Linked DNA regions of Bombyx mori. Each later gene encodes a partner of the first gene's protein in a complex. Links are inferred from orthologs where the notes say so. Each region holds a gene or a part of one and is shown on either strand. Other genes may lie near its edges. The genes, in order: serine/threonine-protein kinase Warts and merlin.

Region 1 (9,271 bases):
CTTGTGATGTTTGTAGGCTAGAATTTAATCCCATTGACCTACTTTTGCAATGAATTATGAAGAATGATTTTTTTTAATTCTGAGCAACAGTGACAAAATGGTTCTACTACTCACCTCTGTTTTGACAGAGAAGGCTTCGCTCAGAAACAATGTCAATGATGGTAAGTCCCTTGTTCCTTTGTATTCAACTGGTGTAAATGTATTTTTGTGGAAATAAAATAATGTTGGATAACCTGTAATTTTTTTCAAATTTATTTACACCATCAACTAGTGTACCTATTTTAAAAAAAAATTCTATTATGTACATACTTAAAAACAAGGAAATTATGTGTATGCTTACTTAAGTACCTGTTATTTCATTTTCATGACAAAGCTTAGCATGCACTGTGCAGTCAACTTGGGCAATGGCAAATTTGGAGTCCTTGGTATTAACCAGCTCTGCCAATTCTGACCATATCGGATAAAATTCTGTGCAATGTCTACACCTTAAAACATATAATTTCTGTAAATGGTATAGTACCGTAATGGTAAAAAATATAGATATTATGGTAATTTCAAACAGTATTTTATTGAAACTCTCTTGGAACACATCTTTAGTTGTGGATGGTTAACAACTTTTTTAATTTTATATCGTGAATTACCCTCATTGAATCAGTCGTCAGCCTTTTTGTAAAAATGCTCATCTAACTTTGTAGTTTAGTCAATAAGTATGAAGGATCTTTTTCACCACTACCCACATCAGTTCGTTTTTATTGAGGGCATTCAAATCTTTTGTTTTGAACGGAAGCTTGGCTGTGATCTTCGTATTTTCAATTTCTATTAGAGGTTCACACACAATAGGCCTCATCGATGTCACTACGGTATACCATTTACATTTCGGTCAACTAAAGAAAATTAGATTAAGTTTATTTATAAAATCGTTTCGATTCAATATTTAGTATAATTTTTATCATAAATAAATGAATATGTAGATTGTTTTGAATTTAATCACTGAAAGGAATAATGTAAATTCAATTATTGTTCTCACCATGGCGCGTAAAACATAATAAAGTTTCCATCCATTTCTTCGATCTGGAATTTGAAATTACTGGGATTGTATTCGTAAACAGAACTCTGTTCAGGAGCTACAAGATACGGAAATACAAATAGATATGGTAATATCTTCATTGTGGTGAAGGAATATATTTCTAAACAATGCCTCTGTGAATTGAGGTAACTTTTTTAGGTTGTTTTCATTTATATCTTTTCTCCTTCTCATTAGTTAAGTAGCTAATAGGTTAAATCTAAAACAACAAATAATTTCGTATTTGTTGGATAAATTTTGCTTTGCTGCACAGCACTTCAAACTTTTTCGTTTGGTTTGTCTATTGGCAGCACAGGGAACGTAGCACATATAACATACACAGTAATATTCTATAACAAAGGTGAATCTATGTCTGTTGTGTGGAAAGTCAACTGATATAGATTGATAAAAAATTGAATCAAAAATTAAATTAGATATCTTTTTTATTGTCCTTATAGGCAGACGAGCATACGGTCTACCTGATAGTGAGTGATTACCGTCGCCCATGGACTTCAGCAATGCCAGGGGCAGAGCCAAGCTGCTGCCTACCGTTAAGTATTCTCGCCGTTAAGTACTCTGCACAAGCCTCGTTTGAAGAAGGATATGTGGATTAACTGAACTGAGATAAAACAATACCATACCAATGAAATAATTAGTAAAATGGTTGGAATTAAACAAAATCTTAAGGGAGCCGGCACGGTGCGGGATTGTTCTGGCGCAGCTGGAACACAGGCCGTACTTATTGTCCGTTTAATGTTGTACTCATAGATAATACACATAACTTTTGTACTCTCCTCCAACTAATATATTCATCTGTGCTCTCCTGATATTATGTGTATTATTTATACTTTCCTCTCATGCTCGCTGCACGAGTTAATATTTGCGACGATCTTCTTTGAACTGTTGACTTTGAACCGCAACAAGAAAGCCGCGGCATATATCGCCGTCAAACACCAATAAGGGCGAACCGTTGGCCATATTTGTTCACCACCTAACCGGGGACCTGCAACACTTTCGCGAGATACGACGCCAAGGATACCACCGTTGGTTGCTTTGTGGTGTTTGTATTTTGCCGCACGCCGCCTATTATAATAGGTAGTTCGGAGGTTAAGGATGACAAGATAAGATCAATGGACTTTGGAAGAATTCAAAAAGCAATATCCAACTATTTTGTTTCGTTTAACCACCCTTGTGTACTTTCAGAGATACTAAAATGTTAATAAACCACCGTCATAACATACTAAACCTGATGAAACAGTAAATAAAAAAATAAAAAAGTCACAACTTGACAACAGCAACAACCTAAAAAAATTCCTAGCACTGGCCTCAGGTAGAGATGTACTTGGTTGAATTTAACACAGGATCGGAATCACAGCCCTCCGTGAAGATCCGGCGAGATCTCAGTGGGTGGTGTCTATGAGCTATTTCATACGTCGAGCACAGCAGAGAGTAACGTGCACAGCGAACGACAGAAGAATCTTTGAAAGTGGACCTGAAAGATCGGAAAGAATATGTTAATGGCTACGGCGGCTTTAGGTTGCCCTGTTGCCTGGGTCGGATATGTAATGAGAAGCGGAAAGGTAATGGCACGCCGCTTTATCAAAATAGCGTTCCGACGCTTCCATAAGGTTTTTACTGATAGAAACTAATTAGTTCTTACGTACCACGGTGCTCCGAAGGCTATTTTGCAGAAATGGGATTGGATAACCTGGAGAGAGTTCATGTGTGAACGGGACGCGTGAGCGAACACTACACTTACCTATTTCCTTATTAACTCCAAGCCTATTTCACAATGGAACGTATGCATGTTTTGTAGAGTGTCACCTTGTTATGAAGAAAATGAATTAGGCAATAGCAGATAGAAATTTCTTAATTTAACAGTCTTAGAATTAGACCGTTATACTCTTTTTTTTTTCTTTAGAATTTTTGCAGTTAGGATTTTTGCTGTGAGTCCTGTGACTAGGTACTTACTCCATGCCTGTGACTTTCTTATTATTCGGATACAGTTTCATTTCGACAATTCTGTAGAAGTGTTTTTTTAAAGGTCTGATTATTACTTTTAATAGAGAAATTCCTACATTAGTAAGCAGATGAGTGCTTTAGCTGGGTTCTTTTTTACGAAAAAGAGTCGTCAAACAAAATGGAATTTAATCTTCTGTGTATCCGAACACACTAAAGAATGTGGTAATTCTTCAAAATGGTCGCTTTGTATGGTTTGCCAACTTGCATGTCTGTGTTTTAGAGTCCTTTGTTTTCATATTTCCTTAGAAACTCTCGCTTTAAAGCACAACTCTATCGACTCCAGATTGCCTCTTCCGTATAAAAATTAATGCGACTAATCAAAACTAAGTGTGCAAGAAAGATGTCATCGGCAATGTGAGAGCTGTCGATCGAACTGAATTTCATTTTATGGGATTATGACATTTGTGCATATAATACGGATTTACAGAAAGTGAAAAAGTGCCTGGTAATGAATTACAGTAATTAATTATTCTTCTTAGTGCCTTGAATGAACGAAACATTGCTTTCCGAGCTCCCTCTAATTTTGGAATTCCACAAGTCTATGTCATGATTGATTCGCATTAGACATTCCTTACATCCTCGTACTCTTGGATAGAATGCGATACTGTTAAAAATTGTGTACTCGAATTGTCTGATACTGTAAACAGGTTCTGTATAAAGTCGACAAATCATATCCCTATCCTGTTGCCAAGATGTCAAACTTTTCTCATCTAACTTATTTAACTCATTATTTTATTATCACATAAAATTTAAGGGATCTAAAGCAAGAGGAATTCTCAATTGATTAGGTACTAATATTTAAAAATATTTTTCAGTTAAAAGAAAGTACCTTTCACGCTGCTACACAAAAAGCAATGTTGATACAGACTGACTAGTGAGGAAATCGATATATAAACGAAATAAATTCGATAATAAAGACAGTGACAGTGCTGCGAGTCTTAATTAGAGTGTTGAATAAATGGTGCGGAGGATAATAAACAAGGATATGTACAGGGTGTGGGGTGTGCTCATGTGATGGGAGGCGTGGGGTGAGAGGTGAGGCGCACGGGCGCGGGCGCGGGCGCCATGAACCCGCCGGCGCCCGGCAAAACGGCTACGCGCTCCGGATACCACCAGAAGGCGCTTGCCGAAATCAGAAACTCATTGCTTCCCTTTGCGAACATTGGAAACTCTGAACCGCCAGGTTCATCAGCTGCTAGCACAGTTAGTTCAGGAGTGAGTTCGGGGTTTAGTTCTTCTTCGGGAAATGGACTCGATAAAGACTTGAATGTGCTACCTCAATCCTTGAACCAACTTATTGCCTTGGGTTATGATGAGGTGAGTTTAGTTATAATGAATTGCTAAAAGTGTTTCTAAATAACAGATATGATTAGTGTTTTTTTAGTGTCATTATTCCATTATCTTTAATTTTTATAAAAAAACTGGCTGGCATTGTTTTGCCATAAAAATATTTCTAGGAAAGATACCGACTGCAGTGCCGGGTTGCTTTATAAATCTAAACCATTCTCAAATCCACCTGAAGATACACAGAAAATTTCATTAATATCGGTCCAGCCGTTTAGGAGGAGTTCAGTGACAAACACACGCACAGAAGAAATATACATATAAAAATACATGGAATTTATAATACAATTAAAATATAATAAGAAAGACTATCAACTTTTAATGTAGAAGGCAGTGTATGGCCGATATTATCAGTATTTATTGGTGATTAATGTCCATTTTCATTAATACCAAGGCTAAGGACAATCTTTAACCAGGTTTGAGTAAAACTTAAGTTATTGTTATTTGCAATAACTGAGAAATTTTAATTAAACATAAACACTATAAGTACAAGCTAATTACTTGCATATTGCCTGGTTGCAGTGGAATGAGGAATAGGCAATCATGAAACCAGTGGTAGTTTGTTTTCATTTTCAACAATCATGTTAAACATAATTTAAATTGAATCAAATTTATAGTCATAACAGTTATAAAATGAATGCTTAAGGTTGTGTTCTTGGATATAATGTTGACCAGAATTAAATTGAGAAGTAATTTATTCACAATACAAAAACACAAGATTTTAATTTTTATTTTCATTATTGTATTGTGCATGTTGTAAATGCATATTGTCTTGAGAATAAATATGGTCATATACCAATATTCTGTCTATACCTAACACTTTAACCATGTATTCTGGTTTAAAGGGCAGGCTGTCAAATATTTTAATGCATTTTTGAATTCAGCTTCGTGTTCAGATTTTTTAAAACCCCTATTGTGATCTATAGGCTTAGTTATAAAGCCTAAAATAATAAAATCTAATATTAATGATAAAAAAAGATTTTTTTAAAATTATTCTACACATGCTTTTTTTTCTACCGTCTTGGATTATATGTATCTTCTAGCTATTAGTATCATCGGTGACTGATAGCAGGAAGTTTTCAAGATCTCCAATATCAATTTAATTTTTAGTTTTCACAATTGTTCTCATAAATTTCCCAGGCGAAAAATTACATTACTGTGTACTCAAATAAATCCTTTTTTCAACATATATAATAGTATTAGAATGAGGTAAAATAGGAATTATATTCACATAGTTTGTCTATGTAAAGTTTATAAGTCAGCAAGATAATAATTATATTACAATCTACAACAAAATTACAATAAAAACTCCAAGCAAGATCTACATAAGAAGTTCGGTATACTAGTTTTGCCATGCCATTATTATTATATTACCACACAGAGACTAGGTTTGTTGGTCGTCAACTATCCATTGATCGAATGTTGGTTGTTAATTTATAATGTTACTCTGCCCTTACTCTGCTCGGGCACTGGACCCAGACGAAGATCGGGCGTTGGGGGAGAGAGTGCAAGGAGAGTCTTTTGGTAGGTAGGGCCCTAAACGTTCTTGGACCTGCGGTTCTCTCCCAATGTCTACGGACCATCAACACCCACATACTCTACGCGCCCCCTAAGCCCCCTGCCCGAATTTTTTATTATTAGATGGATGGTTTGTACCTGCCGCTGCAGGGTGGGGCACACCACCCTACCGAATTTTACTGTCAAGCAGTAATATGCTCTAATTAGAAGGGCAGGACAGTTAATATACTATACAATTGAAAAATTAGACCTCTTGTCTCGAGATGGATGACGGCGCATATACGCTGTGATGTCTATTGGCTCTAGTAACCACTCACCGTCAGAAGAGATATTCACGGTGTACTTAGATTATAATCAATTTGGTAAAATTTCATTATCTTGTTTTGCTTCTGTTTTTGAATAATGAGTATATTATTTAGAAAAAATCATTTCAGGACCCAGCTGTGAGGGCACTCAAATATGCAGGAGGGCGTTTTGATGCAGCTCTCGATTATTTGTCGAAACAGCAAGAACCTCTCAACGGCGTCCTCAAAAGCAGTAACTTGAGTGCTCTTGGCACCAAACTTATCCGGAAACCTAGTCTAGAGAGAGAGATAAATCTACATCGTGGTAGTCCTGCACTTGATTCAGGTGCTGGTAGCTCCCGGTCTGATAGTCCGCGTCAATCGGAGCCACCGCCGCTACCACACGAGAAGCTATCGCGACAGTATTCGCCTTCAGGTTTCTCAGAACCACCGCCACCTCCGCCGCCGCGATGTCCGTCCACGCCGCCGGTGCTGCCTTCCGTGCAGCAACTGCTCAAGCGCATGTCGCCGGCGCCACCTCTACCACCGGCGCGGGGCACCAGTCCCGTGGCGGCCGCGGCACCCACGCCGCCTGCCAGACAACCCATGATTGTACAAAATGGACCTCAAGTGCAACAGCAGCTTACGCAGCAGATACAAGCTCTCAGTATCTATCAAACGGGTGGCGGCGGCGAACTTCCACCGCCGTATCCGATGTCGGGTGCGCCGCCACCTCCTCCCTACTCGGTCTCTATCCAAAATCGTCAAAGCCCAACCCAGTCGCAGGATTACAGGAAGAGTCCATCTTCGGGGATCTATTCAGGAGGCACCTCCGCCGGCTCGCCGAGTCCAATTACGGTAACGCAATCGACTGGTTCAGCCGCGGGAATGACTCGCCCCACGCCGCTCCAGGCGTGGACCGCGAGACAAGCGGTGCAGCCTCCTATCATCATGCAGTCTGTGAAAAGCACACAAGTTCAGAAACCGGTACTACAAACGGCGATAGCACCGGTTGCCCCACCGCCAGCCACCAGTGCCGGAGCACCCCCACCCCCTCCTTCGTACGCGAGCTCCATCCAACAGAAGCAGGCACAGACTCCGCCCAGCTACCCGTCGGCACCGAAGCCGTCGTCTCCTGGCTCCACACCTACTGCGATTCCTCCCGCCGTCCCGACCACGGAGCCACCAAGTTATGCGATCACGATGCAAGTGCTCGCCGTTCAACGCGGCATGCACCCCGTCCCGCCGCCTCCGTACGGTAACCAAGCCGACAACACGACTACTGTTAATTCCCACCATTCTCCTTTACATAAGAAAATTTCGAATAACTGTGACGGTAAACCTGAATCGTCACAAGGGCCGCACGAAATTAAGTGTCCCAACCAGAACTGTACGAATAATCTCTTAAAAGACAACGTCACGGCCTCCGGCTCCGACAAAGGCTCTAACGGATCATCGGACAGACGACCAAAAATGTTAGATAAGATAAGGCATCAATCGCCAATACCGGAACGCAGAAATTACAGTAAAGAAAAAGAAGACGAGAGAAGAGATTGTAAAGTCCGAAATTATTCACCGCAAGCTTTCAAATTTTTTATGGAACAGCATGTGGAAAACGTTTTGAAATCTTATAAACAGAGACTGTTCAGAAGGATGCAACTCGAAAAGGAGATGAGTAAAATAGGTCTAAGTGCAGAAGCTCAGTGTCAGATGAGAAAGATGCTGTCCCAGAAGGAATCCAATTATATTCGATTGAAAAGGGCCAAGATGGACAAGTCTATGTTTACTAAGATTAAGCCTATAGGTGTGGGAGCATTTGGGGAGGTGACGTTGGTGAAAAAGATCGATACTAGTCATCTGTATGCCATGAAGACACTTCGGAAAGCTGACGTGCTAAAGAGAAATCAAGTGGCACACGTAAAAGCCGAAAGAGACATATTGGCGGAGGCAGACAACGAATGGGTCGTCAAGCTTTATTACAGTTTCCAAGATAAAGATAATCTGTATTTTGTAATGGACTATATACCGGGCGGGGACCTTATGTCCTTATTAATAAAATTAGGAATATTCGAGGAGAATCTCGCTAGGTTCTACATTGCAGAGTTGACGTGTGCTGTCGAAAGCGTGCACAAAATGGGTTTTATCCACAGAGACATCAAGCCAGATAACATATTGATAGATCGTGATGGTCATATAAAGTTAACAGATTTTGGTCTATGCACCGGTTTTAGATGGACGCACAACTCCAAATATTATCAAAGGAATGGTATGAGACAGTTTTTTGTAAAATTTATGCAGTGTTTTAGAGATTGATTTGGTGTTACATTTTTTTTTTGTATTCAGATCATGGACGACAAGACTCAATGGATCCAGTGGATGGAGAATGGGGGGCTATGGGCGAATGTCGATGTTATCAACTCAAACCCTTAGAAAGGCGGCGGAGAAGAGAACACCAGCGGTGTTTGGCCCATTCGTTAGTGGGAACCCCAAACTATATTGCGCCTGAAGTCTTGCAGCGGACTGGATACACGCAGCTTTGCGATTGGTGGTCGGTTGGAGTTATATTGTACGAGATGTTGGTTGGGTCGCCGCCGTTCCTGGCGCCGACCCCCGCAGAGACGCAACTCAAGGTAACACACAACTTTATGATATGTTCTATGATAGATACAAAATAGAGTACAATTTGATAAGCTGTTTGTTAAGATCTAGTAAAATAGACCATAGTCTACACTGATATTGCTTTTATTTTAATGACATTCTCAATGTGATTTTTGTGTTTTCCAACAATTGATTAAATCATTAAGAGGGCTGCTCTGAAAAAAAAAACATTAAAAAATTTATCTAAATTCTCTATTTATTAACTTTCAGGTGATCAATTGGGAGAGTACACTACACGTACCTGATGCAGCCAACTTATCCCCAGAGAGCAAAGACCTCATTCTGCAGCTATGTTCTGGTCAAGACACAAGGCTTGGCAAAGATGCCAATGAAGTAAAAAACCATCCCTTCCTCAAGGGCATCGATTTTGACAAAGGATTGA
Region 2 (9,419 bases), on another chromosome or scaffold:
TTTGAAGGGTGGGGCAGCCGTTGTAACTATACAGAGACCTTAGAACTTATATCTCACGGTGGCGCATTTACGGTGGTAGATGTCTATGGGCTCCAGTAACCACTTAACTCCAGGTGGGCTGTGTGCTCGTCCACCCATCTAAGCAATAAAAAAAACCCTTCACACCACCAGTGCTGTCCTGTAACCAGTACCGAAATACAGCTGATTCTTACCACTTAGAGATCTAGACACTGCGTTTGAATTGAATTGAGGGTTGAAATCCATTCCACAGTATTTAGTGCACAATATGGTCTAATTCAAACGAGGTTTGAGAAGATTGGTATACAGCACCAGCTTGTTTGTGACATTAGTATTGCTAACGTAACTCAGCTCTTAGACCATATTAAAAAAAACTTATTTTGTTTTCATAATTATTATAATCATTATATATTTGTCGTTCTTTGTTTATGTAACAGTAACTTAATAAATGCACTTCGAAAACTTGGACGTTTCATTAAAGCATAATATATAATTAGATTTTGTTCAAATACCTTAATTTTTTTATCCTCTGATGGTATCATGAAGCTACTTCCGCGTAGTATAGATACCACAGCATGTTGTGCCGCTTTTCTAACCTGCACAGATTACAAAATTATAAACAATTACTATTTGGAATGTGTGAGTTGTACCAATATAAAAATCAATTCAAAAAGTAATAAAATTAATATCTGGTTCAGAACAGACCTTGGGTTTAGAGTGCAGTGCAAAGGCCAGAACGGATTCAAACACTCTCATAGTTGATGAATCACCCCAGACAGCATACTCCTGAGCTCTCAGCAGCACCGACAGACATCCAATTGTGCTCCTCAGCAATGCTCCATTTTCAGACTGAGCATGCTCCTCGAGTAATTCCATAAATATTGTTGAGGAGTCCGAAAATTGTTTACGCAGTACTGCTTGTGGTACTGCTTTGATGCCCATTGATAGTAAAGTTATTGTGGCTACTAAATTGTCTTCCAGTTCGGATGCCTTTAGAGTTTCCATCTATACAGAAATATATAGTAGTATATTATTAAAAATTTTGGACATGTGATGCGTAGAGAGAAGGTGCATTTGATTAGGATATGTATGGAAATGGTAGTGCAAGGTAGAGGTGGTCGACCGAAGAAAACATGGATGGAGTGTGTGAATGACGATATGAGAGGGAAGTGAATGTTAAGATGACGGCTGATAAAAGAGAAGAATGGAGTAGAATAATTTGCTGTGCCGACCCACTAGTTGGACAAAAAGAAGATATTATTGAAAATTTTGCCATCACTTAAACATTAGTTTCATTTATTTTTATTTATTATTAGTTTCACTGTATCTATATATCCAAGTATAAGATATCAGCTTTCAGTTTAAGAAATTTATGACCGTTATTACTTACAAGAGCAGCAAAGTATTCCGTTGTAGTCTCTTTACCTCCTTGTTCTTTGATAACTTCAGTCACAGCCGCCAGCACTGCTAGCATTTCCTTGTGCAGTGCATTGTTTGAATCAAAACGATTTAGCAATCTACAGTAAATTTTATAAAAAATGAGTGTATCTTAGCTTATAAAGGAATGAAGAGCATTAAACTTAAAGACTCAATCTATTGAAGAAATAAAAAGATGTGATGTGGTATTTCGGTAAATTGATTTTGATTTAAGTCAAAGTAATATAAAAAATAAAGTAAAATTATAGCCAAATATGTATAAATACTTTCTCTTCTGCAAGTATCAATTGAATATATCTGAGAGTATATTTGTTTAGCTCTTACTTATTCACTGGTGCATACTTTATTTTGTTGCAATGAGTTTTGGTCATAAATTATTTCACAAAAATTCTTAGTACTTGATATAATTTATTCCAAATTTATAATAAGCAAGTCTCTCATGAAAAAGTGGTACTTAAAGTATGAAATGAAAAAAGATTAAAAGAGATTTTTTTAAGAAGAACATGTCCTAAGTTTCATCTTAGAATTATAATTCAGTATTCCACTGAATTCCAAATAATTTCTATTCCAAGTAGTTTTCCAAATAATTCCTAGTCATGACTATTTAAAGTCATAACTAAAGTGCATATAAAGGCTTACTTAAGTAATTATCCACATTTTGTATTTTATTTTCAATATCACATTAGCAATTGTGAGTATAGAAACCTGTTTTCAGGTACTGTCTCAAATACTGCAATAAAATTAAAATATCTATTTAAACTTTAACTTACTTATGAAAGCTGATATTTGAACATTGACTCCAATCAGATGCAAATGTTTGAAATGTCTTAAATGTTCCTGATCTTAATGTACCAGAGTATTCAGACTCTGATCCCTCGTCTCCGGTCTTGACCGACATATTTTCAAGCTCTTTTACTATGGTCAGTTCATTTTCAGCATCTGATTTTGTTTTGTTAGTTTTATGTCCATATGTCATCATAGCTTCATGCTTGGACACCGCTTGCTGTGTTAAGCCAGTGCTGCCTGTAGAAGTTAATTAGAGGAGTCACTTATAAGGAAATTATCTTAATTTTAACATAAAAAGTATGAGATTAGTTAATTTAGTCATGTTCTAGGTTATGATTTTATAAGGAAATTTTACTTTGAAATTACTGTTCAACAACTTTTTGTGATGTTTATAAATCCGTTTTTCCATAACGAATGATTTTGAGAAGTTTTAGAGAGAACATACCTAAGTTTTCCTGAAAAAACCGGGATTTTGCCATCTCCCTGTATTTTTGAATTTTCGGGTTCGAATTTGATGACTGTCCTTTCTGCCATCGTTTCCCCTTCGTTTTGCCTTTAAGTTTTGATCTAAATTTACCCATTTTAGTATTTCATAACAATATGCAAATGAAAGATGTAACACACGTGGGGAAAAAGTGTTCAGTGTTTTGATTGAAAATAATGACAGCAAGCCAATGAAGTAGGAAATAGGTCTATGCAGCAAGCAAAATGAAATAGTTGTCAAATTACTGTCAAACGTCAAACACATTCTTTCTAGGCAAAATGGATAATGAACGCAAGTCTTATCCTGCAAAGTAAAACTGTTTCAATTAGATTTAAGAGTAGTTAGAAATACTGTGGATCACATCTAATCGGGGTCGAGAGCTGAAGTTTAGAGTTAGGTAAACTACGGAATAAAAACATTACTTAAAAAATATTAGATTAATTAAATATCTAAAAAATAATAATATTAAAATAAACTATTTCAGTTCAGGAATCAACCGCAACATTTTATTAAACTAATATCACTTCATTGAACCCATTGTCCGATTTTTTCTTTCATTTTTCAAATCCATATTACGTTTCGTTATACGTGACCTAAACTTCATTTCAATGACCAGTCCGATGTATTTTAAAGTAGAATGGAACGTTTACCTTTCAATAGGTTTTTCATTCACCTTCGCATTGCTTGTTTCATTGACGTTTTTCTTGTTTGTAAATAATAACCGCTGGAAATAGTACGCAATGTGAAATTACACGCATTCCTTTATCGAGTGTTCATTACGTAAACGGGAGACGTTGCCGTGTAATTAGTTAAATGCTAGTTGAAAATTCATAACCTCGGTGGTGTTTCGTGATTCTTGTAAACGAGAAATGATATAAGAATAATGCCGCCCTTCCGGAGGAAGAAAGCTGCTAAATCTTTTCCAGTTAAAGTATGCACATTGGATGCTGAATTGGAGTTCAACCTCGAGGTAAACTGTATTTTCTGTTGTGGTAAACCTTTTTGTTTACACTATTTCCATTTAGTAGGTACTAAGTATTCATCCGATCGTATTATGAGTCATGCGGAGGCGCCCTGCACTTGTTAATTGATGATATTAATGAACATTGCAAGTACTTTGTATGTTGAGGGTATAATGATCATATCTTCTATGACTCTTATCTGTTTGACCACATTGCTTAATAAAAATGTCATTATAAATAATAATTATCTTTAAATTTTTACCATGTATGTAAGGTTGCTCGCGTTAAATATTTAAGTTTTGAAATTTCTTCATGATGATGATTTCTTTTAAAATGATTTGATTAAAAAACATAGAAATATAATATTCAGAAATTTAATTAAAAAGTTTGTTTGGATTAATGTTTTCATTTCCTAAATATTAGAAACACTAATGTAATTTTAAAAATTAAAGAGTGTAAAAACAGAAGTCATTTTATATTAATTATAATAAATATCTTTAGAATGTGTAACTTTAGACAGTTTTTAAAAGCAAGCTAAATATGTAAACTTGAATATCACATATATTTGGATGTATATAATTTTTTTAACAAAGAAGTTTCTACTATACTTAACATTGTAAATGCTGTATATTTTGTGTGAAGATTAATGAGTTCCTTTGACATTATAACATGAGTTATCACTCAACTGAATGTCAAAGATTAAATTTTATCAGAAATAGTACAATGAAGTCTCAACATAAAAGAATATGTTCAGCCATTGTGCCAATAGCAGCTCTAGCTAACAGCTCCACTCTAAGAGACCTGTGATTTGATGTCGTCGTGGCCTAAAGGATAAGACGTCCAGTGCATTTGTGTTGAGCGATGCACTGGTGTTCGAATCCCACAGGCGGGTACCAATTTTTCTAATGAAATACATACTTAACAAATGTTCACGATTGACTTCCGTAGTGAAGGAATAACATTGTGTAATAAAAATCATACCTGCAAAATTATAATTTGTGTAATTACTGGTGGTAGGACTTCTTGTGGGGCCGTGCGGGTAGGTACCACCACCCTGCCTATTTCTACCGTGAAGCAGTAATGCGTTTCGATTTGAAGGGAGAGGCAGCCGTTGTAACTATACTGAGAACTTAGAACTTATATCTCAAGGTGGGTGGCGCATTTACGTTGTAGATGTCTATGGGCTCCAGTAACCACTTAACACCAGGTGGGCTGTGAGCTCGTCAAACCATCTAGGCAATAAAAAAAAACTTAATAAACAAACATTACTATACATTATTGTATTCGAAAATACATTCTAAACATCACTAACATTAGTGACAGTGTTGATGAATTTTCTTTCTAAGTTAGTGTTAAGAGTCGTCACTAATATTGAAAGAATAAAATATTTGTATTATATAATGTATATGTATTAAAAGCGTATATATATATATTATATGTATATAAATAATAACAGTAAAAATATTGAGTATAATTACAAAATACATTATAATTAAGGATAAATAAGAGCATTATTGTATTGTTGAATTGTTTATTAATATTAGTAAATTATATTTCCTTAATTGCATGGTAGAGGTAAATTGTAATAATAAATTAAATCATGCCTAAAATTTCACCACATCAAAGCTTTCTGTGGGTGTCAGAAAAGGCAACTCGAAGATTGACCAGAGAACAGCCAGTATAGTTCCCTTAGTTGTATACCAACATAACATGGTTTACAGTAGTATTAGAGCATATTGTAGGCCCTATCTAGTAGGCACCATGATCCTCCCTAATTCTGCTACTTAGCAATGATGTGCTCCTGTTTGAAGGATGGGACCGCTGTTATATAGTTAAGAGTAGTCAAGAAATTTACTGAACAGGATTTATAACCTTGCTATTGCTGAATAGACAAATGGAATGAAAAGGACAATCTACTTCTAACCAGAAGAACTATGTTTTAAACTATAATAAGATGGCTGAATAATTTGTCATTGAATTTTTTTACATAAATTAAAAAAGGGATATGTTACTTGATCAAGGTTTTGTTTCTTACTTTTACAATTTTTATTATTTAATAATATTAAAATGATAACGCACCCTTAACCCTAATAATCAGTAGACTAAATCACGGTTCACCGAAGTTAAATCTTTACCAAAGCCCATTTATTATAAATGTGACTGTCACCGCCCACCTTTAGATTTATGGTTTGGTTAGATTCTGTTTAATTGTGTTTGACATCACATAGAAAACGAACAACAACAAAGCTACAAATATTCATTTTTATATCTGTAGAAGATAATGTATTCCTTACAAAATAACACTATTAGCATGTTATTCTTATCATTCAAATTCCATTGTATGATAACATGGCGATGCGTAGTTTTGCTAATTAAAATGCTTACAATTATTTAGAACGTTGTTTTTTAAATAGCTGCTAATAAGGGAATTTAATTTATTTGACTTAATTTTTAACTTAATTTATTTGATTTATTAATATTGTTACGCGCTGGGGTTCGGGATAAATAAAATTCCACTAAAGTACAACTTAAAAACTGTATTCAACACTTAAAACGCTTAAACACATTACAAACACGTTAAAATTCTCAGTTCGCTTCGCTTCGCTTCAGGTGATCCGTTCGCTGTTTCGCTTCGAGTAGTTCCGATTACTGACTGACTGCGTGCCATCCCTGCAACGCTTTTATAGTTGATACCACATTCCTAGAATTATCTAGAATATTCCACACATCTCTAGTAGTAGTTTCCGCTATCTGACAATAGATGGCGTTGTACTTCTAGGTCCTTTGACGATCGGCGATAGATGGCGTTACTCTTATCGGCGTAACAGTATTGAAATTATAATATGTAGGTACTGTAAAAGAAATGAACTTGTAAATGTCAAATGTTTTGATGTCGTCGTGGCCTAAAGGATAAGACGCCTGGTGTGATCGTATCGAGTGATATGAATGTGCTGGCGTTCGAATCCCGCAGACGGGCACCAATTTAATGTGATTCACTTCAATTCATTTAATCCAGTTTACTAACAATGTAATTGATATTCTTCATCTTACATTATAAATGCAATAGATAAGGCCTATGACTTTATAAGTGCACTAGTCAAAATAGCAATGGCATAAATTGTCCATTACGCTGTAAGATTAAATTCCAATAACAATAGTGTTTAAAAAGGTTAAGGTATATTAACGTAGAAAGTTAGAAGTGAAACCTTCAGAAGAATTCTATCTCATTCTCTGGTAGGCACATTCCTGTATATGCATATGTTTGTCTCTACCTGGTGTCGTTTTTTCGTTCCGGTATTCAAATTGCGATCACTGCTTAGTGCGAGTTTTTTAACGTTCTCGATAGCGTATAAGTTAACTCCAATTTGTATGCAGTTGGAACAGCGCCCCTAACGGTAAACGCTGTAACTCCATACAATTTTGAGTTAACTTTTGCGCTGTCGAGAACGTTAAAGAACTCTCAATAAGCACACAGAGCTAAGGAATCGATTGTGTTCCAGTGGCGAGCTACGGGTCGTGATTTGTTCGACCTGGTGTGCAGGACAATTGGCCTACGTGAAACATGGTTCTTCGGTCTCCAATTCGAAGACACAAAACATTTTATAAGCTGGCTGAAGTTGGACAAGAGAGGTATCAGTAAAGTTTATTTGTTTATTTACGGTTACATTATTAGAACTACTTTTACTCAGGCCGAATTGTACCAATAGAATGTCCTATATTCTTTTGTTTTGTATTATACTTATGTACCTGTGTTTTATTTTCAGTACAAGACCAATGCGTCTCCCAAATGCCAGGTACTCCCTTCATGTTACTCTGCAAGTTGTATCCCGAGGACGTGGCCGAAGAACTGATCCAAGAGGTCACACAGCACCTGCTGTTCCTCCAGGTGAAGCAGGCGATATTAAGCATGGACATCTACTGTCCCCCCGAGGCTTCCGTCCTACTGGCCAGTTACGCTGTACAAGCTAAAGTGAGTCTTAGAATTGTGTGATTAGATCATTCCCGATCCTGCGGATCGAATGGTAATCAGTCGACGTCGCCCTAAACACGTCATTACGGATCCTCCCGATCCACTAACGGTGCTTTTAGGTACCTCAAGCACCGGTAATCCAAACCCGTCGCTTGCAACGAAGGGCTCGCCGAGTAAATTAATCCACAGACACAGCCCACTGAGTTTCTCGCCGGATATTCTCAGTGGGTCGCGTTTCCGATCCGGTGGTAGATTCTGCAATGTACTGTTCTTACTAGGGCGTGTTACCAACGTCGTCAAGTTAGAGCCCTGTGAACTCATCTGCTTGTTCTGCGAATCTAGTATAACCCCTCGATATTACCAGAGTAGGTAGAAAATTTTTTTCAAAAATCGTGATTAGGTCCAATATGGAGATATCGCTCTACGCGTTTAGTCTTTAAGAAGATTGTTCCAGGACGCAGTTGGGATACCTTTACGCAGTTTTTACTATCAAATCTATTGTGTCAATAAGGATCACATAGTGGACAGTCTTCTGCTGTACTCACAGCGTACCTCACGGATTAATATCAGTGAGTGTCTATTAGTAACAAAAACGAGTAGAGGTCTAGTATTTGCGATAAAAACTGGTCTTTGAATGTGGGGATTTAAGATTTTTGACCATTAAATATTGAATTGAAAAGTCTTGTTGTTGGTTTGTTGGGACGGTTTAAGATGGGATTGCTGGTGGCCCAGAGATATTCCCAGCGTCACCACAGCCTTACTTTTCAAACCTATACAAATTTATTACGTTGAATTATTTTTTTCATATCAATAATGCGTTTGTTTCCCTTGATATGTGGAGAAATAATAAAGTCACACTATACTAAAGTCACAAAAGAGGTGGTGTTGTGTAATAAGGTGGAGGTATCATCAATTTGCCACATTCTGCAGCGAAGCAGTCATGGGTTCCAGTTTGAAAGGTTTTCAGACTCATGTCAGGTAACAGCTTAGCATCTGGTGGGCCTAGCGCAAACTGAAAATAATGGTGCGTCCTCAATTCCGGCCTGGTGGTAGGACCTCTTGTGAGTCCGCACGGGTAGGTACCACCACCCCGCCTATTTCTGCCGTGAAGCAGTAATGCGTTTCAGTTTGAAGGGTGGGGTAGCCATTGTAACTATACTGAGACCTTAGAACTTATATCTCAAGATGGGTGGCGCATTTGTAGACGTCTGTGGGATCCACTAACCACTTGACACCAGGAGGGCTGTGAGCTCGTCCACACATCTAAGCAACAAAAAAGAAATTTGAAGGAAAGAATAACGTTAAAGAACGCCTTAACTGTCCATAAGTTTTGAAGTTAATACCTAACTAGTATTTCCCAAAGGCCTATGTTTTTCAGTATGGCGACTATGACGAGAGCGCCTACAAGCCCGGTATGCTGGCCAGCGAGGATCTGCTCCCTCAACGGGTCATAGATCAGTACCAGATGACGCCGGAGATGTGGGAGGACAGGATCAAGATTTGGTAAGTGTGTGGGGGGGGGGGTGGTACAGCTTTATCCGGGAAGCTAGATAACACCAGGTATTCTTTGAGATTGTTTTTAGCTATGACATTATCAGTATTACCGCTGTTTACTACTAAAAGTTCGATGAGAATGCTGACCATTGCTTTCAATGAACTTGTTACATCTGCACCTATAATCTTTTTCCGCGTGCTCATTAGAGGGCGCTAGGGTAATGATTGCACACGGGCGCTCATGGGCCAGTGAAGCCTTTGTATATAA

What was found.
Region 2: the proteins of serine/threonine-protein kinase Warts (region 1) and merlin are in contact, whole or in part, in a crystal structure (PDB 7LWH), measured with the Homo sapiens proteins. The link is inferred for Bombyx mori from reciprocal best matches to the Homo sapiens genes LATS1 and NF2. Residues at the interface, in NP_004681.1 of Homo sapiens: Pro69, Lys70, Phe71, Gly72, His74, Ala77, Leu78, Glu80, Ile81, Arg82, Ser84, Leu85, Phe88, Ala89, Asn90; in NP_000259.1 of Homo sapiens: Pro135, Glu136, Ala137, Val139, Leu140, Tyr144, Asn175, Leu176, Tyr177, Gln178, Met179, Met183, Trp184, Arg187, Trp191, Glu206, Ile210, Asp213, Leu214, Glu215.

Annotation. Positions count from the first base shown.
Region 1 is NC_085112.1:13,709,302-13,718,572, forward strand, and holds the start of serine/threonine-protein kinase Warts, read left to right. Parts: upstream 1-3,239; 5' UTR 3,240-3,530; exon of another isoform or gene 3,531-3,563; intron 3,564-3,873; exon of another isoform or gene 3,874-3,900; 5' UTR 3,901-4,150; coding exon 4,151-4,402; intron 4,403-6,381; coding exon 6,382-8,497; intron 8,498-8,574; coding exon 8,575-8,861; intron 8,862-9,099; coding exon 9,100-9,271. Other genes in the region: thioredoxin domain-containing protein 5 homolog, read right to left, coding at 115-233, 349-485, 1,028-1,167. UniProt on the Homo sapiens protein: Negative regulator of YAP1 in the Hippo signaling pathway that plays a pivotal role in organ size control and tumor suppression by restricting proliferation and promoting apoptosis.
Region 2 is NC_085122.1:2,604,103-2,613,521, reverse strand, and holds the start of merlin, read left to right. Parts: upstream 1-3,370; 5' UTR 3,371-3,608; coding exon 3,609-3,695; intron 3,696-7,187; coding exon 7,188-7,317; intron 7,318-7,451; coding exon 7,452-7,657; intron 7,658-9,020; coding exon 9,021-9,160; intron 9,161-9,419. Other genes in the region: RRP12-like protein, read right to left, coding at 531-614, 724-1,023, 1,409-1,535, 2,226-2,478, 2,687-2,822. UniProt on the Homo sapiens protein: Probable regulator of the Hippo/SWH (Sav/Wts/Hpo) signaling pathway, a signaling pathway that plays a pivotal role in tumor suppression by restricting proliferation and promoting apoptosis.